Macaca mulatta: one gene and its partners. The protein of the gene in region 7 interacts with the protein of the main gene of each other region in a pairwise test. Links are inferred from orthologs where the notes say so. Each region holds a gene or a part of one and is shown on either strand. Other genes may lie near its edges.

Region 1 (3,989 bases), on a different chromosome or scaffold from region 7:
GGGGCGACGCCCGCGGGGACCACCCTGTGCGGCGTGCGGGGCGCAATTCTCGGGGCTGGGCTGCCCCAGGGGCTGGGAGGGAGGAGGCGGAGGAGCGCCCAAGTCTCCTACCCATGGCGGCGCATCAGGACGCGTCCCAGAGCTGGGGGCGGACGGAGGCTCCGAGGCGGAGGCTCTGGTGACCCCAGACCTGGGCCAGAGCAGCCTCCGCGGGCCCTGGAGGGAGGGTGGAGGCAGAGGCCCGGGCTGCAGGAGTCGGGGGAGCCTGAGCCACGGCGGTGGGGCCGCTTGCCAGGGGAGAGGGGCCACCCAAGCCGCAGCAAGGGGCTGGGGTGGGGGCCCAGGACGAGGGGCTGTCTGGCCCTGCCGTGTGAAGGTGAGGAGGGGCGGTTCAGGTGGAGGTGGTGCGGGGGAGCTGGGAAACTGGCAGGAGGAGCTCTATGCAGAGCTGGGGCCGGCGAGGGGAGCTGAACCACGTGCAGAAGGTGGCTGAGACCTCGGGGCCGGGCCCCTGGAAATTAGAGATGGAGACGTGGAAGGCTGGGTGCTGGCGTTTCACAAACCCATGCTAGTGGTTTCCTCTTTATGTAAGGGATGCTTCTGGGCCTTTTCCCTGCCTGTCGAAAGTTCTGTGTGTGTGTTTGGGGGGCGGGGTGGGAGGTGAGGGTGTGCTGCGTTTTGCTCCACTTTGAGGCACCGCCCCGCCGCAGCCCCCACCCTCAGGGCCTCTGCTCCCAGGTGGCAGGGCCGCCCCCACTGCGGGAGGGCTGGGTACCTGCCTCATGGGGCATCCTCGGGGCCAGCCCTGTGGCCGTAGGCATCTGGGCCCTCGCTGCCCCTGGCCGGAACACTCTGCTGGTCCTGGGCAGTGGCTTCAAATCCCCTCTCCCGGGGGTGACCCGGTCTCTCCGGAGATGAAGTGGGGACGGGGTCTAGGCCGCCTTCCTGGCCCCCCAGCCCTCCTGGTTTTACCCCCGAGGCCACGTCCAAAGCCCCCAGCGCCCCACCCCTGCCAGCCTCCCCCTTGAGGGCCCGGTGGCCTAACTGGGTCGGCAGGGTCCGAGGAAGACCAGGGTCAGCAGCGGCGCGGTCCGTTCCCCGACCCCGTCACCTGTGACCCACCTGTTCCCCGTGAGGTCCCGCCCCAGCGCCCCCCTCCCGGGCTCCTCCCTCTTTTCTCAGCCCGGGAGGCGCGGATAGCCGGGTTGGGCGTAATCGTGGGGCGAGGCCCGCGGGTCTTTCTGATTTCGGAGAGCGGGGTGGGCGCTGAGGCAACCGCGGTCAGGACCCGGCCGGGAGTCGGGGCTGCTCCCTGGACCCCGTCTGCGCCGAAACCCCGCATGGCTTCGGACCTGCGCCCGCGCCTAACCCCGGCCGCCGGAGACGCAGTGCGGACCCCAAGCCAGTGCGCGGAAGACACCGTCCTACCCTCGGCGTGGGCGCAACGCGAGTCCGTGTGTCCCGGCGCGCGGGAAGCTGGTCCGAGGCCGGAGGGAACGCTCGCGGCGTGGCTGCCTCCCACCCGGCCACTTCGGCCCCGCGCCCCACCCCGACGGCGCAGGCGACCCGGGGACGCCCAGGACGCGGAGACGCAAACAACTCGGGACCGAGGTTCGTGGGAGCAGCGGCCGCGCGTCGCGATGACCGTCCCGGGAGCCCGTGCTCAAGGCGTCCCCGTGAGGTTTGGGCTCCACAGTCCCCGGCGGCTCTGCCCCCGTCCTGGCCACAGTGGGGACAGCCCGGCTTGGCGGGGACGCGCCAGTCCCGCAGCCGAAGCGGAGTGTCTACCCCGCCGCGCGAGGCAGTGGCTCCGGCCCTTCCAGCTCCGGATGGGGTCAGGGAGCCGCCCGCGCCCGCATGCGGAGGCTGCTGCGATGGCCCCGGGAGTGAGTCCCCCAGAGGAGCCGGAGTAGGGCTGGAAGCGGACGAGTGCCCCGAGAGGCCCCTCCCGACATTGCCGTCCCCGCGCGCCGCTCCCCGAGCCCTCCGCGTCTTTCCCGGAAAGCGTCCCTCGGTTCCTGCGCGACCGCACAGCCTGGACGCAGCGCACGCGGGCACCGGCTGAGTCCGCCCTGACTCTCCCAGCCTGAAGCCTGCTCGCCCTCGGGTGTCCGGGCTGGGCACAGGCGCCAGCGTCCCCCTGGAGAGGAGAGGTCGCCCGGCACCGCCCAGGGCAGGCCCGAGTGGGAGCGGGACCCTCCTACCTTCCAGCAGCCTCTGCCCGCGGGGTGGGGGTTGGGAGAGATGAAAGGAGGTGACCGATGCCGAACCGTTCCCTCTCCATTAACCAGGGCCCGCAGCCCCGCCCCTGCCCCAGACACCGAGGAGCCGGGGAGGTGTGAACGGTCTCCTTTGTGTCTCTGAATCGAAGGCAATTAGGCGCTGCTTATCCGGGCGTTAGCCGTGTATGCAAACCGGGCTCCCGCCCCCTCCTCCCGGGCTTATAAACGCCGCCGCCCGGCGAGGCCGGAGGTGGATCCTGCGCCTGGCCAGCCCCGCCCGGCCTTCCCTCCGGCCCACCTGGCCGCCATGCGCCTCTCCTCCTCCCCACCTCGTGGCCAGCAGCAGCCCTCCAGCTTTGGCTCTGTGGACTGGCTCTCCCAGAGCAGCTGCTCAGGGTTGACCCCCTCGCCCAGGCCTGCCGACGTCTCCCCGGGGAGCCTCCCTGGCCCGGGCCAGATATCCGGCGCCCGGGAGCCCCCTCAGGCCATCAGCATCAAGGAGGCCGCCACGTCCTCAGATCTGCCTGCGCCGGAGAGGACCGTGGCTGGTAGGTCCGGGCCGGGGGTCCTTCCCAGGTGGAGATGGGAGTGGGGGAGAGGCCAGGAGCCCGGCGGCTGAACTCCCCGCGGTACGGGGCGGACGAGGTCAGGGCCGGGGACGTGTCCATGAGGGCCGGCGGAGGCCTTGCCTGCGCCTCACTGGAGCGCAGCTTCCCTCGAAACCAAAGCCTTGACGGGGATTTTCTCTCCTTGAGCCCTCGGTGGGCTCCTCTGCCTCCCTTGGCACCCCGTTCCTCAGCTGTGTCCCACCGCGGCCTGGTGCCGAGGGACCGTCCAAGGGGTCCCTCTCCGCACCTCTCTGCCCTGATTCCGGGCGCTCACTGAAACACAGCGCGGGCGTGGGCACCTGTGCCCCTGGTGTTCCAGCCCCGCAACCATCGGGACCCAGTTCCAGGGGTCCGACGATTTGCCAAGCCCCCTCTGCCCCCAGCAAAGCCAGTGCCTGCTCAGCATCTAGGCTCAAGCCCCTTCCAGGCCACCTGGAGCACAGCTGTCTTTTAAAGAGCCTGCAGGTTTGCTGTTAGGGCGGCGGTGACCCGGTGCCTGCAGAAACTCTGAAGTTCGGTCTGTGGCCCGGAGATGCTCTGTTGTCTGCTGAGAACAAAGGTTCTCCGCGTTTGTGTTTTAGTCTTTGTGACATCGTTGCCGCTTTTAGGTTTAAGGTAGTACTTGGTCAAAAGTGGGGTTAACATAAGTTTTCATTTTTAAAAATTTGACTGATCCTCATGGAGTAACTTTGTACTTCAGGGAAATGAAAATTTAAATATGTTCTTCCCAGCTAGCTATCCTGCCCCACCCCAAAAAAGTCAACCATTCCTGTCCCCCAACCCCCTTCCTGATCCCAGTCCTACAGCCCTCCCCGCCACAAGGCGTTTGCTTTTCGGGTCTCCCATGTGCTTTCAGGCTAACGTGAAGACAGATTTTGTAAAATACGCTTCCTTCCGCAGAAACTCCAGTGAGCATTTGGGTCAGACTTGAGTTAAATGTTGAGCTCGTTTCGCCACGTTGGCCTCCTTCCTGGGACCCAGACCACACACCACCTTGTGGGGTTGTTTAGTGCCAGCCCGCATTCCTTAACTTAGAAATTAGAAAACAGACTTGACCAAGGTGGGCCTGGGGATTAACTGAGCCGGGCTCTGCTGGCTGAGGAGCCGGAGCCCAGGACAGGGACCGAGTTCCCTGGGTGGGTCCCCAGGCCTTTGCATG
Region 2 (4,105 bases), on a different chromosome or scaffold from region 7:
CGCCCTGTCTGCTCTCCGCGCCCGACCCCGCAGCCTGGGCAGCACGGGTGCTCCCCACTGCGATGCGCCTGGAGGCTCCTTGACTCGCCCTCACACTTACTCCTGTGCAAACTTTTTACCCCGCCTGTCGGGGTGGGGGAGTGGGGGAGATTAGAAACAAGGGGTAGAAATTCCTCGAAAGGGAATAAAGTGCCTAATTTTCAGAAGGAGGTGCCATTTAAAAGATTCTCCTAGCTCAGAGTTGGAACGAAAACTCTTTTTTGCACTTTTAAAAGTCCACCCAGGCAGACGTGTTTGGGAAGTTTGTTCCACTGGGAAATGGGCTTCGCCCGTACGAACAATCCGGGGAAATCGCCTCAAGGAGGCTCCTTACGCAGCATGTGGAAAAAAGTTGAGGGCAGGGGTCTGTGGCCACATTTTCCATCAAAAAGTCCCTGTTAGAGGCAGACTAGGAAAGAGAGAGAAAGAATGAAAAAGAAACTTTCCTATCAAAATGTTTGAATTAAGAAGTAGGGTGTACATGTGAGGGCAAGAGGACGCTGGGCTCCAACGTTTCAGAAGAAGCGCTTAAGGCTTGCAAACACCCTTGGTGGGGACCGGGAACCCCGGGAGATGCCGATGAGCAGGTAAGTGGCTGTGCCCTCCCAGTGGGTGCTCTTCCCAGGCGCGAGAGTCCCGAGGCGCCGAGGAGAGATCTGCACGCCCGGAGCTGCTCCCGCGCTCTGCAAAGTAGCCTGCGCCGGCACGAGCCGCCCGCGGCGTCGGTCTCAGGTGGCGGTGCAGAGGAAGAAAACGCTGGGGCCCGCGGCGCCAGGAGAGGGGCCGAGGCCCGGGCTCCTCCAGCCCGCCGCCCCCGGGTCCTGGCGCCCACACCCGGGCGGCTGAGCCCGGTGGCGCGCAGGAGAGCGAAGGAACCGGTTCTCCAGCACCTCTCCTCGTCTCTGCCACTCCCTCCGGAGCGCCGAGAGCGCGAGAGAAGGGCGGGGGCGCCCAGGGAAGGCCTGGAGACCCGCGGCCCCCTCCGCGGCCAGGACTCGGGCTCTCCGCTCGCCTTCCTCGCCTAGCTCTGAGCCGCTTTTGCCAGCCGAGTCCCGGAGTTAGCGCGCGACCGGGGCGGGGCGGGCGGGAGGGGAGGGCGGGGTGTGGGGGGCGGGGGAGGGCGGGGGCGCGCGGAGGTAACCCCCGGCTCGCGCTGCCATTGCCCGGCTCCCTGTCACTCAGCCCGCGCGGGGCCCCCGATTGGCGGCCTAGCCCCGTTACGCACTCGCCTCGCGTTCACATACCCGGGGAGGGCAGTAGAAAGGTGATCAATCTTCATCAGGCTACATTTCCAATCACCTAAACAACCGAGCAAGACAAGCCACTCCGACAAGGTAAATCGCTTGATTTATTTAGTTTGCAAAGTGACTCTGCAGGACTTCCCAGTCCCCACTGCCTCCACGTTGCACCGGCAGTGCCGCGGTAACGCCGAGCCACCTCCCAACTCTGCCCTCGAATTCCCCCCCTTGCGGCCCCTCGGCGCGATTCCGGGCGAGGCAATGTCCTGCCTGAGAACGTGTGGGGCTTAGCAAACAAAGTGTCTGTGCAATAAAGTGAAACCCAGAGGGACACGCACAAAGCCACTGAAAAAAAAAGATAGAGGTGGGAGGAAGGAAGTTGGGAAAAGAAAGAAACCCGGGGTCCTAGACCAGCCGCCGGGGTAATTCCTGTGCCGCTCTGTTTTGCAGGTTGGCTGCCCGGCGGGTCTCTGTGAGAGATCCAGGTAGATGGTGAACGTCCCCGGCAGCTGAGGGCAGGTAAGGAGAAAGCCGCGGGACCATCCCGGACTCCGGGAGCGCGTTGGTTACCCTTACCTCCCCCTCCTCAAATGGATCCCCACTTCCCCGGTCACCAGCAGGTGGGCGGGGCTGGGGGAGCGGCCTAGCTCCCCTCTTGGTGAGCCGAGGACCCCGGGGCGCTGTCGCGGCCCGCCGCTCCCTCCCCCGCCTCCTCCGAAGTAACCAAGCTGAAGTGCTAAGTTTGGAGAAAGTCTTTGAAAACTCACGCTGCAGCTTCGCAAAGCCGTCGCAGCTTTGAGTCCCATTTTCCTTCGGCCCTAGAGCCCTGGCTGCTTCTCTTCTCGTCCCCTTCCTACAAGCTGGACTCCCTCAGCCCAGGTCTTGGATCCCAGAAGACCGGGGTGGGAACGGGGCAGGGGGGAGCTTCTTTAGCTCTAACTTCTCTCCCTGAACGTCCTAGCCCGAGTCCCTGGCCTGCTTCACAGCGATCCCGCTAAGCGGGGTGTAGCAATGGCCCCCCAGAGCCCCAGGCCCAGTTTCCAGCGCCCCTCCCTGACCCCTGAGAGTGCCGCCCCGGGTTCCTGGCAGCGGCGGGGGCGAGGCTTCCACCTCCCAGCTCGGGTCTGCGTGGGCTATGCCGCTGAGGCCTACTTCTCTGTTCTCGACAGTGTCCTGGGGCCGCGGGTTCAGCTACAAGGATGACAGCACGGGACTTGCTGCCCTCCGGCTTTGCAAATCCCCGAGACCCTTTGAGGTGCTAGGTCAGTCACCCTTCACCCCCTGCTGGGACCCTGTGGTCCGCAGCACAGACTGGACAGAGAAGGCCGGGTGCGCGCTGGCAACGAAGGACGCTGGCCGCAGCTGAGACGCTCCCGACCTCAGGCCGCGTCTTGGGGTCGCCCCCCTCTACAGTGGCCTCTTCGGCGTCCCCTGGCCCTCTGCGAGGCCTGGGCCGGTTACTGCGGTTGAGGTGTGGTGGGATTTCGCGTCAGCGATCTTTCAGTGGCTGGGCACAGAGAGGTCAGCTGGAATGGTGATTGCGGGCTCTGGGGCAGGGGCGCAGCCCTGGAGACCTTTGAAGGAACCAAGTGTCCTAAGTGGACAAGAGGTTGAGGTGCGGTTAGCCCTCCACATTGCCTCACCTTGGCCCTTTGTAGTCTCTACCTTTTCAAAAACACGTGAAACAAAATGAAACAACCCCTCATGCTCCGGGAGGCCTGCCGTCCCGGCACCAAGTGAACGTTTGCTTGTGCAACATGAAGCTGGCTTCTGCCGGATTCAGAATTTTGCCTGGACTTGGGAGCTTGCACACTCCGCGGTTCTTGCTCTGACCTCCCCAGCCTGGCCTGGCTTTGACTTCTCCTTACTCCTATGGACTCCCTACCAGTGTCTTTGGCTCATTCCAACGCTGGAGCCAGACGACCCAGAAAACTTTACTTTTCAAAGCAACTGTGGTTTCTGGGCTAAGGCCTTGTGGATTCCAGTTGACCACCCTGCGCAGTTCTGTAACCTGCCTTCCCTGTCTATCCTGGGGCAAGACTTGGCAGCCAAGTGGCTCCGATTGATGGTTTCCGTGTGTCTCGTGTCTTCATAGGCCAGGCCCCCAGACGCATCAGACCCTGAAGGACTGCGGTGGGAGCCCTGCACCGCTTCTGGCCCCAGGTCCCCTGGATCCGTCGGGGCGCCTCCACCCAGCTGTTAGCATGATGTCTTACCTCAAACAACCCCCATACGGCATGAACGGGCTGGGCCTGGCTGGGCCCGCCATGGACCTCCTGCACCCATCCGTGGGCTATCCGGGTGAGCACCAGCCCTCCCGACCCTGCTTCAGCCTCTCCAATGTTGGGGCCCCCCAGACTGTTGGGTTTGAGTGCAAGCTTTGTTGCCGAGCAGGCCCAGGGAGTCAGCTATTGCAATACAGGGCCCACTGCCTGTTTACAATACAGGGCCCACTGCTGGCGCACGGGGCAGAGTCGTGGGCATGTGAGGTGGCCAGGGCTGAGAAAACGCGCAATGTGCGCCTTCCTGGCCGGGTCACCGGCAACCTTTCTCCTGTTGTGGTCCCACCACCAGCGCAGAGCTCATTTACCTGCGGATTCGCTACCCAGGGGCGGCTAGTGTTTTTCCTTTTCCCCCAACATGGAATGAGTAATCTGGACACTCGTTAGGCCCTGACAGAAAGAGCCAAACTTTCCTTATGCGAAGCGGCAGGCTGGACTGAAGGAGTATTCTTCCTTCCTAATTAAATTGTCCTCTAAATTGATGTCCTGCATCCATTTTTGCACTGCTGTAGAGGACGACCTGAGCCAAACCCGGGGTTCTTTAGC
Region 3 (2,872 bases), on a different chromosome or scaffold from region 7:
TGGATCACTTGAGGTCAGGAGTTAGAGACCAGCCTGGCCAACATGGTGAAACCCCATCTCTACTAAACATACAAAAAATTAGCTGGTCATGGTGGTGTATGCCTGTAATCCCAGCCACTCAGGAGGCTGAGGCAGGAGAATCACTTGAACCTGGGAGGCAGAGGCTGCAGTAAGCTGAGCTCGCTCTACTGCACTCCAGCCTGGGCAACAGAATGAGACTCTGTCTCAAAAAAAAAAAAAAAAAAAATTTTAAGGCTGGGTGCGGCAGCTCACACCTGTAGTCCCAGTAGTTTGGGAGGCCAAGGAAGGAGGATTGCTTGAGCTCAGGAATTCCACACCAGCCTGGGCAACAAAGTGAGACCCCCATCTCTACTAAAAATCAAAAAATTAGCCCAGCATTGTGGTGCATGCCTGTAGTCGCAGCTACTCGGGAGGCTGAGGTTGGAGGATGGCTTGAGCCTGGGAGGTCAGGGCTGCAGTGAAGCGTGATAGTACCACTGGACTCCAGCCTGGGTGACAAAGTGAGACCCTATCTCAAAAAAAAAAAAAAAAATCCTCCTCAAACTAGACACAGTATGATCCCGGTTTTATGTGAGACAGAGAGAGAGAGAGACTACATCTCTATTTATATCCAAACAAAGAAAAAAGACTGTACAGAAAGCAACTGAATGAGAGACTTTTTTTTTTTTTGACAGAGTTTTGCTCTTGCTGCCCAGGCTGAAGTGCAGTGGCATGATCTCCGCTCACTGCAACCTCTGCCTCCTGGGTGCAAGCCATTCTCCTACTTCAGCCTCCTGAGTAGCTGGGATTACAGGCACACACCATCACACACAGCTAATTGTTTTTTGCATCTTTAGTAGAGGCAGGGTTTCGCCATATTGGCCGGGCTGGTCTTGAACTCCTGACCTCAGGTGATCCGCCCACCTCAACCTCCCAAAGTACCGGGATTACAGGTGTGAGCCACCATGCCCAGCCATGATAGGCTTTTCTTCTTTTATCAGCACTGCATGTTCCAACTGTTTTACAGGGCTTTTATAATTAGAAAAAAGGAACATTAAAAACAAACAAACAAACAAACATGATGAGAACTGTGTTCTCTTCCCACCCCCTATCCCTCTGGTCCTCGGGCCCCCTGCTCATTCCAAAGCAAATCTGGAGGGCTTGGTCTGGGGTTCATGATGCAAGTGGGCCTGTCAACAGAATTCAAGGGGCCTGTGAACTTGGATGGGAAAATAACTTCATCTTTAGTTTAACCTCCAGTTGAGATTTGGCATTTTCTTCAATTATGAATGTAGGCACTGAACTGTAGTAGTAGTAGTGATACCTGTGACTTTGTCAATAGAATTATAAATATTTTCATATCACATTGCAGTTGTTGCAGGTATCCTAGAATGTCACTTCTGCTCGCCACTACTTTGAAATCTTTTGATAATTAGACCTGGTACTAGATCTTGTTATAGAATACATTAATAAATAAGCCTGTGTATTACTATATCACAAATTTGTTTTTAACATATTCTTAGAGTGCATTTTATATAATTAGTTTCTTTGAGTCTGGCATATATTGTATTTTATACATTTAGAAACATTCTGAGAAAGGGACCATAAAGATTTCCAGACTGCTAATTCTCATTCCTGGAATTTACCGTCTTCCTCTGCCCTCCAGTGACTGCAAGAGGACCTGGGTGTCTCCAAGGGCCCGAAATAACAAAACAGCTGAGCGCCTATGGAATGTCAGCTGTGAGCTTCTAGGAATCCGGTGGGAGTAGCTGGTGGAAGAGCCGCAGCTTTACCAGGCCCAATCTATGCCATAATGAATGGGGACCAAGGAGAAGGCCAACCCTAAAGGATTGTCCTCTTGGCTGGCTGGTGCTGCGAATCCTGCCTGCTCTGATCCTCTTGACCCTTCTGGGAATGTTTGCACTCTTCACACTCTTGTGAGACTGGCTTATGGCATGAGATGTGGATACCTACAGAGCATTCTTCTCTAAGACCTGGAGAGTCAGCAACCCTCTGGGGGCAGCAGGACTGGGTAGATCCCCGGCTGGGCATGTGGGTGGCAGAAGAGCCTGAGAAATTGGGTCAATTCCTTCATCAGCACCAGATGCTCAGCTGAGGCAAGAAGAGCATCATCACTGCCTATTTCCAGGGGCTATACAATCCAACTCTTGGTTGACCTCTTTCTTTTTAAAACTATTTGCCACCACCCTGGAGTCTGGACCAACACACAAAGATCCTGGCTAACCCTGGTCAAGTAGATTCCTTCCTCTCACCTGGACCTTCCCATTTCAATCATGCAGATGGTTTCTTTTTGTAAAGTGTTCCCTTTACCTTTCAAATTTTAGAGAAAATAAAGACTGCATTCATCTTATTGTCTTATTTATTTTCTCAGGGCAGCAAGGAAGAGAAATGGAACAAAGCAGGGGAACCAGCCTGCTAGTTTAGTGAGTAGCATTTCACCCTACCCAGCCACCCATACCTTCTTAGACTATGGCATCTGGGGGCAAAATAAGATGGTCCAGTTGAGTCGTTTGTTAATTTTCTTCCAGCGGTAACATTTTATTATCTAAAAGAGAAGAATGTCTTCAATTACAGATATGCCGAGCTCCACCACAGATTAAGGCCAGATGTAGGACTTCATTTGATCCACAGATACAGGAAAACCAAGCCTTGATAATCTCTTGTCCTAAATTCATAGCTTCTCCCACTTCCGGTCTCTCTGCTGTCCTTTGCTGTGGCCCAGGTGACCTGCTTCTTGCCTCAAGGGTTGACGGTCACCATGAATAGGCAGAGAGATGTGCCTAATCTTTCAGCTGATCAACAAAATAAGTCATGCTTATTGGCTTCATTTTTAAGGCATCCAAAGGGCATC
Region 4 (3,500 bases), on a different chromosome or scaffold from region 7:
ACAGTAGAATAAGGCTGGCATGTTGGCATGAGGAGTAGCAGGGCAAAGCAGTTAGGAGTGCAAAATCTGGAGCCTGGCTGCATGGGTTCAAATCCCAGATCTGTCACTCAGGAACTGGGAGATTTTGATCAAGGCACTTAACCTCTTTGGCCTCAGTCTCCTTGTCTGTAAAATGGGGGTAAATAACAGAACAAATGTTTCTTATTATACATATGAGGAAACTGAGGTCCAGAGAAGCTAAGTAATTTGTCCAAGGTCACACAGCCAGTCAGGGATGGAGCTGGGATTTGAACCCACAGTCTCAGAGTTTAGCTCTTTCATCTTACTACTTATTGGGATTAAGCCTGGGCTGAGATCTGTACCCCAGACCTCTCCCCACAAGCCAGGGCCAGTGGACTGGCACAGGCCTGGGCTACTCACTTGAGGAAGTCCTCTGGCTCTTCGAAGACTTTCTCACATCCGGGCCACTTGCAGACACCATTTGCCAGCAGTGGGTAGGAGCTCTGGGGCATGGCCGAAAGGGTGCTGGGGGGATAGAGGGTGTCAGGGGAGGGGATAGGAGGGTGAGGATCCTTCCCAGCCCTGTCCACTGACCTGTCCTTCCTGGGTGCACCAGGATTTGGGAAGGTGCAGAGCAGTGCTGGCTCCCTGGACACCCATTCCAGGCTGGCCACGTTGATCCCTGTGGGTGGGGACAGGGCATCTCTGGAGGCTGTGGGCTGGGCTCTGGAGCTTGACCCACAAGGCCTCTCATTTTGAGCTTCCCACCCTCCTGAGCCTCAAAAACCCTGACTCCCAGGGGGTTCTGCTGTCCCCAAAGTCCCAGGCTTCTGGCAGAGAAGCTTAAAGACGGCCATTCGCAGGTGCTGACATTTTGACTAGCTTTGTAAAGCTCTGTGGTTTCGTGATTTTGACATTCTGCATCTTTAAGGTTCTGCACCTGACATTTTTTGGAGGTTGGAGTTTCCAAGCCTCTGAGACCTGACACCTTTGACCCTCAGAGGACTGCAATTCAGAATAGCCTACACTGCTCACGGCCAAGGATCTGGGGACCCAGGGGTTCTGTGAAGCCATGGGGTATGGGCTGAGGTGTTACCAGGTGGGAGGCCAGGCCGGGCCTTGAGGGAGAAGACCCCAGTGGCAGTGGTGGGTGGTGGGAGGCTGATCATGGCTGGGCTCTCCAGGGGGTGCACCTGCAGCACAGGGGTCCGGGCGTGGGCATCCACCGTTGAGAGCTGGGGGGCACATGTGGGCTGTGGTTCAGCCTGGCTTGGGGTCCCTCCCCACAGTTCTCCCACCTGCTCCCTCCTCCCTGCCCATTCACCGTCCATACCTGGTGCATGAAATGTGGCCTGTCCTGGAGGAGTGCCTGTAAGTGGGGCAAGGGGCCCAGCCGTGCCCCGGAGGGTGCCACCATGACTAGGGGCAGTGTGGGCAGCTGGGCAGAAAGGCAGGTGGGTGAGAGGCCATCCTGATCCTCAGTGTTCTGTGTCTAATTCATATACTCTGCACTGCAAGCCCACATGGTAGATGCTATGATCGTCCCCCTTTTATACGTGTGGAAACTGAGGCTTATGGAGATCGAGTAACTTTTTAAAGATCAAACAGCTAATAAGTCGCAGAGCTGGCCTCAACCCTATCACCTCACCTCCTTGGCCCCAGTCCTCTCCTCTTGTCACATGGGGATGGGGACACATAGCTATGCCCATGGGACTATAATATGGCCTCCTCTTCTCCTGAGACAGGGATTGGGAGGTTGGGGAGAGCCTCCAATCTCTGAGGCCTGGCAGGTGGGGACTTTCTTGGCCCTGCAACATCTGCATAAGTCACAGACTTGCCTGGGACCCAGAAACCACTTCCTGTGCCCCAGCCAGCCCCCCTCCCGCCCGGTGCCACAGTAAAGGTCGGCACCTGTAGGTCCAGGTACCCCACCCTGCCTGCCCCATCCTGGGCCCAGGGCCTCACCTGCAGCTGCGATGGTGGCATAGGGTTCAAGGAGGAAGAGGAGGCATGAGCCCCGCCTCGAAGATCTCGGCCCTGGAAGATTCCCCCAGGGCCCCGGGCCCCCAGCAGGTCTGAGGCTTTGGGCGCAGCCCTCCAGCTGGGCGAGGCTCCTGGGGATGGGCCAAGGGCCAAGGAAGGGGCCGAGGGCTTGCCTGGCCTGGGGTTGGGCATCGGGTCCTTGTCCAAGGGCAGGCTGTGTAGACAATAGGGGAAAGGAGTCACACATGTGCTAGGGCGGTATAAGATACTCAACCACCTGAACCACGTGGACACCCCTCTGGTCAGAGCAGGCATTGGCTGGGACATGTCCCGAGGGGTCCCACAGCTGCACCCCAGCTCTGGACACACACACATACACACACACATACACCCCCCCAAGAACACAGGTACACATGCATACCCACACACGCCCCACGTGCAGAGGTCTAGCACCTGGCTTGCCTGCCCACGCTAGCACAGCCCTGGTGTGGATGTGTCCTCTATGAGGGCAATGGTTGTTTCTCCCTCCACTTGAGAGCTGTTTCAAGCCTCAGGCCTCCAGCCCTCCCGCACCCTGCACAGGCTGTGTTTGCTCATGTTGCCGGAGCTGGTCTTGGACTTTCTCCTGGGAGTCCTATTTTGCCCCAGTGACTAGGCACGGACTCAAAAGATTCATCTGGCTGCTGTGAGTGGAGCTAGTGAGAAGGCTGTTGCAATAGTCCTGGCAAATGATGATGCTGGCACAGAATGGGCTGGTGGCAGTGGAGAAGGTGAGAAGTGGGTAGATTCTGAGACTTAATCTGCAGCTGGATCAGGAGCAGTGCTGGCAGCTTGGATGTAGTGGGTAAGAGGGAGGGTCAAAGTAACATGGGTTTTAGCTTGAGCAGCTGGAAGGACCGAGCTGACATTACCTGAGATGGGGGACATGGCGGGGAGTTGGATTGGGGGCAAAAGTGCAGGTGTGGATAGACATGAAGAGTCTGGCATTAGATGTGTGAGTGGAGGAGCTGAGGGGGCAGCTGAATACGGGGGTCTGGATCTCAGGGCAAGGAGGCGAGTCCAGGAGTGTGATCATGCACGGATCCAGCATGGCAAGTGACAGAGAGGAAGAGAGACAGGGTCTCTTGAGCTGGGGCCTGTAGAAGCTTCTCAACCCAATCCCCATCAGAGTTCACTCCAATTTCTGGCCCTCGAGCCTGGCTCATCCTACTCACCCTGCCTCAAATGCCCACTCCTTCTCCTCTTCCCCTGTCCAAGCCACGCAAGGCCTGCTCTTCTATTGTCCTCACCTTGAAAGCCCTCCACAATGGCTCCAGGCCCCTCTATTGAGCCCCAGAATCTTCCACTCCCCGAGGGAAGCACTGGCTTTTCAGGATCCTGTAATCCTGGTCTGAGAGGAAGCCAGAGCTGGAAGGGACTGCCCAGCCAACCCCATTATTACAGAAGGGGATGCTCAGATGCCGAGTTCCATAGTCCCATAGTGACTTGAGAACTCCACTTCTTTCTTTAGGAAGTGT
Region 5 (4,179 bases), on a different chromosome or scaffold from region 7:
TATGTTCCTACCCTGGCCCTGTCCAGCAGCCAGGGGACTGACTTGTCTTCTGTGCCAGAGAGTTATTGAAACCAAGATTGACTTGGTTTTTGTAGCAGACCCCTTTTTTCAAGTGAAGATGACCCACCACCCTGATCCATAAAACAGACAAAAGCTCCAGCCCGTGATGCAAAACCACATTCACATCCATTCATCCAGATGCATAACATGGGCATATAAAGTCACTCGGTGAGACCAACAGGGCTGTTGCGATGAGCAGAGTCTGAAGGGGGCGCTGCAGGCAGCTTTTTCGGAGCACAGTTGGCCCCGGCTTTCATTCATTTTGGCCATTTGCTTTGGTGGCACAGTCTGGAAAAGTATCCAGATTCATGCAGAAAAGTGTTTGCAAATGGTAGTTGTCTTTAGTAGCTTGCTGGAAATTCAGAGTAGAGGCCTGGAGGAGCAGATTGACTTGAGCAGCTATGAGAGAGCCTTCCTTCTGAGGTCTGCACAGACCAGCCCCAGGGCCCCGGCATGTTACGATTTCATGGGTGATATATGAGTTCGTATGTTGTTTCTTCTCAGAGGTCTTTAATACCTTAAAAACACTGAACTATTACAGAAGCTATTTACAACAAACAAAAAAAGTAACACTGAAATAAACTTGAATCAATTTTTTTTTTTTTTTAGGCAGAGTCTCACTGTTACCCAGGCTGGAGGGCAGTAGCACAATCTTGGCTCACTGCAACCTCCACCTCCTGGGTTCAAACGATTCTTCTGCCTCAGCCTCCCGAGTAGCTGGGATTACAGGCATGCACTACCAGGCGTGGCTAATTTTTGTATTTTTAGTAGAGATGGGATTTCCCCATGCTGGCCAGGCTGGTCTCGAACTCCTGACCTCGGGTGATCTGCCCACCTCGGCTTCCCAAAGTGCTAGGATTACAGGCGTGAGCCACCATGCCCAGCTGGATCAAATATTTTGGGAACACATGGCTGTCTGCACTATCCTAGTCTAGATGGTTTATGTCCTGGAAGCTGTCTGTTCTCTGACAGGGTGTAGGCCCTGGGCTGTCTGCCCTGAGCCACTTGCTGGATGAAGGCATCAGCGGAGATTGTCCCTCTGGGACCCGCAACCCAAAGTCCTGTGCCCCTGGCAGCAGTGTGCAGTTGAAGCCCAGAGCTTCACCTCCCTGTGCTCAGTACGGCAGGCCGGGGCCACACAGAGGCTCGGGGAACGTGGGCCTGACAGAGCAACCCACGGCACCGGAAAGCACCAGGCACCTTTGTTCCTTCAGCTTTTCCCTCGGCATTGGGGGTAGGGGGGAGGGCGGCGGGGAGTCCCAGGGACACTGAGCCTGCCCTCCAGGAGCTCCTAGTCTGGCAGAGGAGCTGACACAAATATGACAAATCAAGAACAAGACAGAGAAGTGATCCTGGCCTGGAGAAGGCTGGGGACTGCTCTTGTGGACACCTCTGGAGGCAGCTGCTCTGGGGTGCCCAGCCTCTGGGGGGGGGCCCTGAGCTCTAGCCCCTGCCCTAGGGCACTGAGGGCTGATACCTGTGCCAGCCGAACCCAGGAACAGTCACTCCCTCCCAGAACAGTGGCCAGGTGCTCTCTGGGAAACTGGGGTTGGGGGCAAGGTACCTTATGCCTCCTGCAGCCAGTGGTTTCTGCACGTCCCCAGCAGCCAGCCACCAACTGGGGCCCATCCCAATGCCTCCTGTTCTCTCCCCAGGACTCCCCCGAGGCAGGCGGGGAGCGGGAGGAGGAGCAGGAGCGGGAGGAGGAGCAGGCCTTCCTGGTCAGCCTCTACAAGTTCATGAAGGAGCGACACACGCCCATCGAGAGGGTGCCCCATCTCGGCTTCAAGCAGAGTGCGTCCCTGGGGTGCAGGCAGGGAGGGGGGCCCAGCAGGGAACCCCACCCAGGCAGGGCATCGGGCAGGCACTCCCACTCTGGGTGACCCAGGTTGCAGATAGAAAGGAGGCCTCCCTCCAGGCTGCCACCGGGCCAGCAGTGCACAGGCCACAGCCTGCCCATCTACTGCAGTGGCCCTGCCTGGGTGTGTGCTGCTCTGTGCCCGCGTGTCAGGGCACTAGGAAGGGGTGGCTGCCCCACCTCCCACGGAGGCTGACGGCCAGCCTGCCCCTCTCTCCCCAGTTAACCTGTGGAAGATCTACAAGGCAGTGGAGAAGCTGGGGGCCTATGAGCTGGTAAGGAAGGCACCCCCAGTCCTTGCCAGACTGCATCTCCCTGGGGTGAGCCTGCAACGCTGTCCTTGCCTCTGGACAGGAGAAGAGCCAGGATCCCCAGTCCTGCCTTCCTCCCCGCCTCCCCCGCTGGTTCTCTGCTGCTCAAAGCAGCTTTTCAGCCTTCCCCATCTGTTCTGCCCGCCCCGTGTTGGAAAAACTGCTTGGGCCAGCAGTCCGTGGCCCTGGGAGGGAGAATCAGCCGCTGTCGGAGCCGCAGAGCAGCTGCCAAACCGCAGTGCTTTGGTCCCTGCGAGGGCGGCCAGAGCCGCAAGGACCCCGCTGCCAGGGGGCGCTCGCGGCCGCGCCCTCACCAGGTGCCCTTGCAGGTGACCGGGCGCCGCCTCTGGAAGAACGTGTACGACGAGCTGGGGGGCAGCCCGGGCAGCACCAGCGCGGCCACGTGCACGCGCCGCCACTACGAGAGGTAGGGGGGCGGGCCCGGGTGCTGGACGCCGCCTGCCCTGCGGGGCTCGGTCGACCTTGCCGGGAGGGCTGGGTGGACTCTGTCCGGAGCGGGCGGGGTGGGCCCCGTCCTCAGCGCTGCGGGGGCCCAGGCTGGCTGGGCGCAGCCACCGAGGGAGCTGAGCTTTGGGGCGAGGAGGAGAGGGTCTTCTTCGGCGCCGGCGGGAAAGAGGGGCTCAGAGGAGGCCACAGAGGCCGGTGGAGGGGATGGGCGCCGACCTCCTGGGGGACATGCCCGGTTCCTCCCCAGGCTGGTCCTGCCATATGTGCGGCACCTGAAGGGGGAGGATGACAAGCCGCTGCCCACCTCCAAGCCCAGGAAACAGTACAAGATGGCCAAGGAGAACAGGGGGGATGATGGGGCCACCGAGCGGCCGAAGAAGGCCAAGGAGGAGCGGCGCATGGACCAGGTACGCCTGTGGCTGGGTGGGGCCACCCTGTTCCCTGCCTCTTGCAGCCCCCCCACCCCACAACTCCCTGTGGCCACGGAGCTGTCTGCTCAGAACACACCGAACATGCACCCAGGGCGGGACTTGCAAGGTTCCAGGTTCTCCACAGTGCGCAAGTTCTCTACTTGTGCAAGCAGACTGAACTCCAGCCTGCACCCCACCACCAGGCCCTGTGTCCCAACCTGAGGCTGTGTCCGCTCAGAGGACAGGGCTCCTTTGGAAAATTCTGCACAAAGGACTGCAAGAGCTAGCGGGGAACCTGGGCAGGCCTGAAAGTGCCGCCTCCTGCTCCTGAGGTCAGGATGCATGGCTCGGGCAGCCCTGAGGCATGGCTTTCTCTCATTCCAGATGATGCCAGGAAAGACCAAAGCAGATGTTGCTGACCCAGCACCGCTTCTTAGCCAGGAGCCCCCCAGAAACAGTACAGAACAGCAGGGCCCGGCCTCTGGGTCTTCTGTGTCCTTTGTGGGTACCAGCGGCTGCCCTGAGGCCTACAAGCGGCTCCTATCCAGCTTCTACTGCAAGGGGACACACGGCATCATGTCACCACTGGCCAAAAAGAAGCTCCTGGCCCAGGTGAGCAAGGTGGAGGCCTTGCAGTGCCAGGAGGAGGGCTGTCGCCATGGGGCGGAGCCCCAGGCATCCCCAGCTGTTCACCTCCCAGGGAGTCCCCAGAGCCCCAAAGGGCTGACTGAGAATTCCAGGCACCGGCTGACCTCTCAGGAGGGATTGCAGTCCCCGGGTGGCAGCCTCAGGGAGGAGGTGCAGGCGGGCCCCTGCCCGGCAGCCCCCATCTTCACGGGCTGCTTCCACACCCACCCCACCGAGGTGCTGAAGCCTGTCAGCCAGCACCCCAGGGACTTCTTCTCCAGACTTAAAGATGGGGTGCTATTGGGGCCTCCTGGCAAAGAGGGGCTGTCAGTGAAAGAGCCCCAGCTGGTGTGGGGCGGGGACGCCAACCGCCCTTCTGCATTCCACAAAGGCGGCTCCAGAAAGGGCGTTCTCTACCCCAAGCCCAAAGCCTGCTGGGTGTCCC
Region 6 (4,087 bases), on a different chromosome or scaffold from region 7:
AGAACTGACCACTAACAATATAGAGATCACAGACAAGAGTTTTTGGTGCAGTGGTTGTGTTACTGGTAAAGGGTCCTGATCCAGACCCCAAAAGAGGGTTCCTGGATCTTGTGCAAGAAAGAATTCCAGGCCAGTCCACAGAGCAAAGTGAAAATAAGTTTATTAAGGCAGCGAAGGAATAAAAGAAAGGCTACTCCATAGAGCAGGGTGTTCCCAAAAGTATAAGGAGGAAGGCGTCCACCTGGATACAACGCTTGTTTATATGTAAGATAAAAGCCAAAAAACATCACGGGGGAGACGTGCTGTACTACCTGGGCTCGTCAAACAAAGGATTGCTAATCTTTGCGTAACGCCTGTCCTCCGCGAGCATCTGTATCATGATCTTTAAAGCGAAACTTCAACTAAGAAGGCTTTTAGTTAAGATACCCGGACATCAGGACCCGAGTCCCGGGTCTGCTGGGTAAACATTAACCTGTGCCTGTGACCGTAAACGCCCCATTCCTGGGGATGCAGCGAGCGGGGTTCGGCCTCAGTTTACCCAGCGCTGTTGGAGCTGGGGTCGCTCTGGCTGGAGCGCCTGAGCGCGGGGGGCGAGGTCAGGCCGGACTGGGGTTCGCAGCGAGCAGGAGGGTAGCGGGGCCCCTGCGGAGCGGCGCTGCGGGGAGGCCGAGGGCAGGGCGGGCTCGAACTCGGGCTCTTCTGGCAGCGGCTCCATCCCCGTTCCGTTCAGCCGGCAGCCGCCCCGGGGCGGAACCGCGCCCCATCTTTAGCCCTTTGCAACAGAAAGGCCCTTCCTCCCGCAGTCAGCTGAGGGAAAGATCGCGCTGGAGGGGATGTCGGGCCTGCCCCTGGTTTGTTCCGGGCCACAGTTCCCTCCCTTCTCCGAGCGGGCCGCACGGCCGCAGGTCACCCCCGCCAGGTGGCCAGGTCCTGCCGCCACTCGGCAAGGACCGAGGAGGAGCCAAACTGCCCAGACTGCAGCGCCGCCACACTCGGGTCCGCGCCGACGGCCGTCACGACTGGGCATGCGCAGACGGCCCCGCCGGGAGCCATTTCGCTGAGCTGCGGGGCTCGCGGAGAGAGCGGCTGCGCAGGCGCCGGGCAAGAGGCTGTGCCTGCCCGACACTGGAGCGCGCGTGCGCGAGAGAGCCGGAAGGGGCCGTACCTGGAGCGGCGCCTGCGCAGTGGAGTGGCCCCGGGGGCGGGGCGCGGCGCCTGTCAGCTGACTGTGGCGGCGGCGGCCTCGAGGTGACAACTGTGTCCGTCGCAGGCTCCGGCAGGGGCGCAGGAGGTCGCCCGGCGAGTCACTCTCGGGTCGGCGAGCCACGGGGGCCGCCGCAGCACCATGGCGACCACCGTCAGCACTCAGCGCGGGCCGGTGAGGCCGCCAGGCGGGGGTCGGGCGGGGGCGGCGACCTGCGGCTGCGGGAAGGGCCTCGGGCCCGGGCTACTGCTCAGCGGCGGCGGGCGGGCCGGCTCCTCGGCTCTCCCGGGGTACGCGGGGCGCCCGGCCGGCCGGAGGGGAGCGGCGGCGTCCCCACCTCGGGGCGGGGCGGGGCGGGACGGACGTGCCCACACTGCGGGAGGCTTGAGCTCCCGGTCGCACCCGGGCAGAGCTTTGGGGAGGCGGCCCCGAGGGAGGGGGCCTGCGCCCGTGGTGAGCCCCAGATGGAGGAGGGCCCCGTGCCCCATGGTCCCCCAGAGGAGGCAGGCGGCGCTCCCTAATGGTCCCCAGATGGAGGAGGGCCCCGTGCCCCATGGTGCCCAGATGGAGGCGGGCCCCGAGCTCTGATGGTCTCCCAAATGGAGAAGGGCCCCACACCCTAATGGTTCCCCAAGTGGAGACGGGCATGCACCCTGATGGCCCACCAGGTGGAGGCGGGCCCTGCACCCTGATGGTCCCCTAGATGGAGGCGGGCCCTGCACCCTGGTGGCCCCCCAGGGGGAGACGGGCCTACACTCTAGTTGGTCTCATAGATGGAGGCTGTTTCCTCTTTCTCCCTTACACAGAGGGAGGGTAGTGGTGACCACTTCTTGGGCCCAATTGTGTCCCCAGTTAGTGGCCACCGCGCAAAGCCTCAGTTTCTTCATCTGCAAATGAGAGGATAGGCGCCAAGAACTTCAGAGAACCTTTCCTGCTCTGAATTCTCTCCTGAGGGTTGCCTGTCAGTTTCTTCTATAGCATTAATATTGCAGGAGAGCTGGTGTAGACTGACTCAGAGATGATGGGCTCCTGGCATGAGTGGCCTCCGGGCTCACTGTTAGGGCCTTCTTGCATTGCTGTAGAGGAATACCGGAGACTGGGTAATTTGTAAGAAAAGAGATTTAATTGGCTTCTGGTTCTGCAGGCTGTACAGGTAGCAAGGTGCCGGCATCTGCTCCTGGGGAGGCCTCTGGAAGCTTCCAGTCATGGCAGAAGGCCAAGTAGGAGCTTGCAAGTCACATGGCGAAAGCAGCAAGAGAGTTGGGGGTGGGGAGGTGCCACACACCTTTTAATGACCAGATCTCGTGAGAACTCCCTATCACCAGGACGGCACCAACCCACGAGGGATCTGTCCCTGTGACCCACACGCCCACCCTGCCAGGCCCCATCTCCAACGCTGGGGGTCATAATTCAGCGTGAGATTTGGCGGGGATGAAGATTCAAACCGTGCCACTCACTGAGGCTGGGCTGGGCGGGCTGTCCTGAGCGGCACAGTTTTTATCAACAGTGGCTCTGAACCTGCTGTGGGCGGAAAAAGTCCTTTTTAGGATGTTCCAAGGTCCCTGCACTCGTGCAGCCCAGTACTGGACGTGGTGGAGGGGTGACCAGGGCTCCCCACCCTTAACACTGTATCCACACGTCCTGGTGTTTCTCCTGAGGAGAGAATTCTTCAGGTAGAACATTTTTTTCTGTGTTTCGAATGAAGCCCCAGGTTTTGGACATAGACGCTTTTTCTGAGGACTTTGAAGGAGACCTCCTGACACTTTAGAGACTCAGGTGTGGAGCCTGTGGGTCGGCAGAGGTCCTAGACGGCCCCTGATGTCAGCATCTCCACCTCTTCATCTCCGCTCCACCACAGTGAGTCCCTGCAGGTGGTTGTGGCAGTGAGGTGCTTCTTTCTGCCTAACCGGAGGCTCATAGCAACAAGGGAACCGGCACCCTGCCTTTGTGTCCTCCTGGAGAGCCGGGGGGCATGGTGGCCGGGCAGGATGGCCCCTTCCTTGCTGTGTGGTCTGGGAGACATCCTCAGCCTCCTGGGAACTTGTCCCTCATCTGGAACCCCACTGGGGTGTAGGGCTGGGTTTGAATTCATCAGGTGCTGAGCACTCACGGAGCAGTGGGAGGCAGGCCCTTCCTGTTCTGAGGGCACCGGCGTGCAGTGCTGCTACGCCCGCGATGAGGAAGTGGGAGCGGCAGGAGATGTTCTCGCACGTAGGGCCTGTGCTGACAAGTGCTGAGGTGTTGTTAGCATCTCCTCTTGCCTGGTGCCTCCTGGGCTGTTTCCGTCACGTAGACGAGCAGGCACTTCAGGGGCACCCCCGCTGCCCAGTAAATGCCCAGTAACATCAGATCTGGCTCGGAACTGCCAGGGTCTCCAAGAAGGTGGTGTCAGCGACGGGGATCTCGAGTGCTGCTTGGAGTACCTGTGACTTAATCAACCAGCGTTACCGACTGTGACGTTTAGGATGGCCACGATGCAGGGGCAACCAGGTGGTTCCTGCCACCGGGATCTTACAGGGCAGCACGGTAGACATGGCAGCACCTAAGGACAGTGGAGCCATGTGGTGACCGCGCGGTGGGTCTGTGATCTTAAGCCTTAGGTGCTAGGAGAGTTCGCAAATGGTGGCCTCACCAGGGCTGGGTGTTGGAGTGAGGATGTGACATCTCTCCTGAGCTTGGAGGAGGAATGGGAGTTGGGGGGTGGGCTGGGAGGGGAGTGCACGGAAAACAGAGGTGTGGGGTCTGGAGGTCGAGAGGAGGGAACCCCAGGGGCTGAGGATGGAGGGAGGTCGGAACTGGTGGCCGCAGGAGGGTCCTGGGCACAGGAGGGCTGGACTTGGCCCTGGAGTTTGTCGGGTCAGCGCAGCACTCTGTAAAGTGTTG
Region 7 (3,953 bases):
AAAAACCAGAAGCTTTAACGATCGAGTATTGGAAAAGCTTTCTAAGGCCCGGGAAAAATGGAAGTTTCCTTAATAATGTTAGCTTCCATGTACTGTAAACCTAAACGAAGCAAGAATGAATACTGGGTGCTGTACATAGTTCTATCAACCTACAATCTCGAAAACGCTAGGAGACACATTCAGCTGCTCCCATTTAACGGATGAGGAAACAAGTACGCAATCCTGAAGTTGGTGCAAAGCCCAGGCCCCCTTTCTTCTTCAAGCGTGCTTCCAGCCTCTGAAATTCCTCCGTGTGGACCCCGAGCTCTGCCTGCAATGAGGAATATTCACTTTGCCAACAAATATTTATTGAGTGCCTACTATACACCCGGTAGCTCGTTTAAATAGCCGTGGGATTAAAAAGATAAATAGGGTAAGTTTGTGGTTTTTTCTTCCAGGAAGGAGCTTTCTGAAGGGTGAGGGAGAGGCCAAGTAAACAATCCCAGAACAGTCGGGTGAGAGTTGGGAGAGGAGTCGGGGGCCGCGGGACGCCCAGGCAGCGAAGCGGGGAAGGCTCCGGGCGCGTCGCAGGACCCGCGCTGGAGATGGGTTTGAAGCCCTGTCCTGAAAAAGCCGGCCCGGAGGGGGCTGTCCCCAGTATCCCTCGAGTTCTCATCCTGTCATTCAAGCAGCAGGGGAAGAACCGGGTCTGGCTCGGGAAGGGTGGGCTTAGGGCCAGGGGTGCAAATCCCTTGGTAAAAGCCGGCAAACAAAAGTCGCACACATCCCAGCTCCCGGTCCTGGCCCCGGCGGGGCAGGGTCCCCGAAGTCCCGGGGCGCGCAGACGCCGGGGCCCCCGGGGGCCGAGGGAACTGCAGTACCCGACCTCCCCTGCCCTCGGCCTCCAGGGCCCTCGCCCTCCGACCAGCCGCCGAGTCTGGGGCTGGGGTCGCCGCTTCCGCCCGCCGCCCGCGGCCCCTCCCCGGCGCGCGCCATCCGGCCGCCGGCCCCTCCTCCCGCGGGGGGCTCCGTCCCGCGCCCCGTCCCTCCGGGCTGCAGCCGGCAGCCCACGTCCAGGGAGGGCGGAGGGAGGAGGAGAGGCGCGGAGAGGAGGGAGGGGAGAGGGGAGGGAGGAAGACGAGAGAAAGGGAGCTGCTTCCATCCCGGACTTCCCAGAGCCTGCCTGGAGCGCGCACTCAGCGGCTCTCGGGTCCCAGCGTCCCAGCCGCCGCCCGCGCCTCTCCGCCCCGCTCCTCCTCCTCTTCCTCCTCCTCCTCTTCCTCCTCCTCCTCTTCCTCCTCCTCCTCTCTAGGCACCCCCGTCCCCTCCTTCCAGCGGCTGCAGCCCCCAGCCCCAACTCTCTGCGCTTACTCCTGGGACGCGCGTTCTCGCCCCATCCTTTGCTTCCTTCCTTCCTTCTTCCTTCCTCCCCTGGCTCCCGCCCTCCCTATCCAGGTCGCCCTCCCGGGGCCCGATTGTCTCGGTGCCCAGCTCTCGGCCCGCGCCCTGCCCCGTCTCTCCCTCGTACTTCCTGAGTCGCCCGCCGCTGCCGTCGCAGTCTCGCCGCGGGAGCCCCAGCCCGACAGCCACTGCCCCGGCTCCAGCTCCAGCCCCGCAGCCCGCGGCGCCCGCCCGAGGGAGCCCCGGCGCCCGGGGAAGGCTACAGTGGGCGAGCGCGCCCTCGCCCAGCCCCGCGCCCCAGCCCTGCCCGGCCCGGCGAGGAAGGACCGGGAAGATGAACAACGGCGGCAAAGCCGAGAAGGAGAACACCCCGAGCGAGGCCAACCTTCAGGAGGAGGAGGTACTGGGCGGCTCGGTGCAGTGGCGGGGGCGATCCGGGACCCAGTGCGGGCGGCCGGCGGGGCGCGGGCGCGGGCCCGGGGCGCGGCGGTGGAAGGTTTAGGCATGGCCCGTGCCCGGGACGCAGCCCCGCAGTGTGGCCCGGGGAGGGTGGATCTCGGGAAAGTGTGTTTTTGTGTCCACGCGCGTCTGCGGGCCCCAAATTGCGTAACTCTAAGGACTTTTCGGAGACTTTTGTAAGTATAATGCTCAGCTTTGTTTGCCCGGGATTTAAAAAGTGGAACCGAGAGCTGACTCCTGGGTGACCTCAGATGATCGGGACTCGGAGGGTCAGGACTTAGGGCTGGGGCTGGAAATTGTGTGTGGATTCGGGGTAGCGGGGGGGGGCAGTTTAAGGAAGAAACTTGGGGAAAAGTTTTCATTAAAAGATACCTCTGTTCCCTGCCCCCTCCCTTTCCGTGTTAAAAGTTCTTGGTGAAATATCTTTCTAGCCGAGGGTTTTTGGATTAATAGATAACTCATCAGCCACATTCTTCTCTGCTGAGTCAAAGACCCCGAACCTGGGCGGTGAACGCTTGCGAATTTAGGGCCGTGCAGATGAGGGGAGCAGAATAAGAGGGTTAAAAACGCAGCAATTCACCAAATGCTCATCGAGGATACTTTTATAGGACTTTGACTTCTGAGCACGCATTTTGGGTGGTGCGTCTTCACGATGAAAGTTTTGTGACTGCGGAGCGTTCCTTCGGTGGAAACAAAATTGAGTAGATGTAGTCAGAAGGGGAGTCGGACTCAGGAACAAACGTTTCAGAATTCAGTAGTAGGGTATTTGTGGTATCCTACCAAATGACTGTTTCTGCAGGTACATTATCTGGAGTCCAAGAAATTACTTCTGGCGTACTTTTTAATATCACACACAGTTGAGTTCTTAACATTCTAGAGGAACTTGAGAGTGTGTGCAGATGCAGGAAAGTGCATGGCTCAATATGACCCGAAAAGATTCACACAGGTATTGCATCCTGATCTAGGTGAACACAGAAGGTAAACGGATTCTAAAGCGTTAGGACGTTGAGATCATTGTTGAGACACTGTTGTGTGCAAACTTCAATTCTGATAGTGAAACCAAAATTGCAGAGGAATTCATTAATGCATACAAGTTCTCTGCACATTGTCCACTTGGGAAATGGGAACTATTTAGGTGGAGAAGGTAGAGGAGCGAGACTATGCCAAACAGTGCAAAATCGGAGATTTTACTCTCTTACCCAGTTGTATGGTAGTGAAAACCTAGATGAGTTGCAGTCAGTCAAAAATTGCTTTCTCACCCGAGGACATTTTCTATTTTATTATAAAAGACTATTTGAAGAGTTGTTTACATGCATGTTTTCTAATTACAAGTGTAGGAATGCTACTGGCGTTTCTTTTTTCAAAGCAATGGAGAGTTGAATGGTATGTTCTGACTTTTTTTCTTGAACTTTACTGGCTGCTTTGCTATTTATTTTCCCTACCACTTAAAAAATTTTAAAAATAATGCTTTTTTAAATTTGCTTTTTTAGGAATTACTATAGTTAACTAATTCACTTACCATATCAAAATAATTATCGCTTCAGAAATCTTCCTATTTCAGCTAAATGTGCAATCTGTTTGCTTCTCAGGGTTAGAATATTATATCAAACCATCTTTATTTACCCAGTTGAGAAAACTTTTTTTTTTTCCTTTTGGTGGGTAGCAAAAGAGGTTCAATGTCCTAAAAATCATACCCACTTAAAATTAAGTATAGAAAAGGCACATTTTTCCGCTTGACCCATCTTAACAGCTGCCAGGACCGAGGGATTGCCTGCCCTGTTCCTGGACGCTCCTCTGTCCTTGCGAGGTTGTGTGTAATAATTGCTGTATAATCGCGGACCATTGCAGTATGGTTGCTGCCTCTTACTTGTCCTGTTACCTGACAGTGTTCTTTTTCAGGTAGGAATGGCATGTGGCTCTAGAAAGTATGGATATTTTTAGCAAAACACTTGTTATGTAAAAAATAAGGGGACTGGTAGGAAGATTTCAGAACCTAAGTTGTCCAAGAGATGTCGTGTACAAAACAGATAAGACTGTGAAGAGAGGGGGTTTATAATGTCAGAAATTCAGGAAAAGAAACTAAGGTGGCCTGAATGATCCGGGTAATTTTGCCT

Evidence for each region.
Region 1: the proteins of RBPMS (region 7) and VENTX interact in binary tests that used the Homo sapiens proteins (3 or more experiments, as listed by UniProt). The two-hybrid records come from large-scale screens. The link is inferred for Macaca mulatta from reciprocal best matches to the Homo sapiens genes RBPMS and VENTX.
Region 2: the proteins of RBPMS (region 7) and OTX1 interact in binary tests that used the Homo sapiens proteins (3 or more experiments, as listed by UniProt). The two-hybrid records come from large-scale screens. The link is inferred for Macaca mulatta from reciprocal best matches to the Homo sapiens genes RBPMS and OTX1.
Region 3: the proteins of RBPMS (region 7) and RDH12 interact in binary tests that used the Homo sapiens proteins (3 or more experiments, as listed by UniProt). The two-hybrid records come from large-scale screens. The link is inferred for Macaca mulatta from reciprocal best matches to the Homo sapiens genes RBPMS and RDH12.
Region 4: the proteins of RBPMS (region 7) and FOXP3 interact in binary tests that used the Homo sapiens proteins (3 or more experiments, as listed by UniProt). The link is inferred for Macaca mulatta from reciprocal best matches to the Homo sapiens genes RBPMS and FOXP3.
Region 5: the proteins of RBPMS (region 7) and ARID5A interact in binary tests that used the Homo sapiens proteins (3 or more experiments, as listed by UniProt). The two-hybrid records come from large-scale screens. The link is inferred for Macaca mulatta from reciprocal best matches to the Homo sapiens genes RBPMS and ARID5A.
Region 6: the proteins of RBPMS (region 7) and TOLLIP interact in binary tests that used the Homo sapiens proteins (3 or more experiments, as listed by UniProt). The two-hybrid records come from large-scale screens. The link is inferred for Macaca mulatta from reciprocal best matches to the Homo sapiens genes RBPMS and TOLLIP.

What each region holds. Positions count from the first base shown.
Region 1 is NC_133414.1:145,334,222-145,338,210, forward strand, and holds the start of VENTX (homeobox protein VENTX), read left to right. Parts: upstream 1-1,189; 5' UTR 1,190-2,529; coding exon 2,530-2,770; intron 2,771-3,989. UniProt on the Homo sapiens protein: May be involved in ventralization.
Region 2 is NC_133418.1:61,712,516-61,716,620, reverse strand, and holds the start of OTX1 (homeobox protein OTX1), read left to right. Parts: upstream 1-1,305; 5' UTR 1,306-1,373; intron 1,374-1,727; 5' UTR 1,728-1,796; intron 1,797-3,372; 5' UTR 3,373-3,481; coding exon 3,482-3,578; intron 3,579-4,105. UniProt on the Homo sapiens protein: Probably plays a role in the development of the brain and the sense organs. Can bind to the BCD target sequence (BTS): 5'-TCTAATCCC-3'.
Region 3 is NC_133412.1:140,909,690-140,912,561, forward strand, and holds the end of RDH12 (retinol dehydrogenase 12 precursor), read left to right. Parts: intron 1-1,666; coding exon 1,667-1,769; 3' UTR 1,770-2,372; downstream 2,373-2,872. UniProt on the Homo sapiens protein: Retinoids dehydrogenase/reductase with a clear preference for NADP. Displays high activity towards 9-cis, 11-cis and all-trans-retinal. Shows very weak activity towards 13-cis-retinol.
Region 4 is NC_133426.1:49,332,401-49,335,900, forward strand, and holds part of FOXP3 (forkhead box protein P3), read right to left. Parts: intron 2,611-3,500; exon of another isoform or gene 2,437-2,610; intron 2,198-2,436; coding exon 1,966-2,197; intron 1,439-1,965; coding exon 1,334-1,438; intron 1,236-1,333; coding exon 1,097-1,235; intron 683-1,096; coding exon 421-682; intron 1-420. UniProt on the Homo sapiens protein: Transcriptional regulator which is crucial for the development and inhibitory function of regulatory T-cells (Treg).
Region 5 is NC_133418.1:5,209,287-5,213,465, forward strand, and holds the start of ARID5A (AT-rich interactive domain-containing protein 5A), read left to right. Parts: upstream 1-1,379; coding exon 1,380-1,854; exon of another isoform or gene 1,855-2,140; coding exon 2,141-2,193; exon of another isoform or gene 2,194-2,558; coding exon 2,559-2,656; exon of another isoform or gene 2,657-2,944; coding exon 2,945-3,104; exon of another isoform or gene 3,105-3,491; coding exon 3,492-4,179. UniProt on the Homo sapiens protein: DNA-binding protein that may regulate transcription and act as a repressor by binding to AT-rich stretches in the promoter region of target genes.
Region 6 is NC_133419.1:1,190,213-1,194,299, forward strand, and holds the start of TOLLIP (toll-interacting protein), read left to right. Parts: upstream 1-1,287; 5' UTR 1,288-1,345; coding exon 1,346-1,378; intron 1,379-4,087. UniProt on the Homo sapiens protein: Component of the signaling pathway of IL-1 and Toll-like receptors. Inhibits cell activation by microbial products. Recruits IRAK1 to the IL-1 receptor complex. Inhibits IRAK1 phosphorylation and kinase activity.
Region 7 is NC_133413.1:32,159,362-32,163,314, forward strand, and holds the start of RBPMS (RNA-binding protein with multiple splicing), read left to right. Parts: upstream 1-1,153; 5' UTR 1,154-1,714; coding exon 1,715-1,780; intron 1,781-3,953.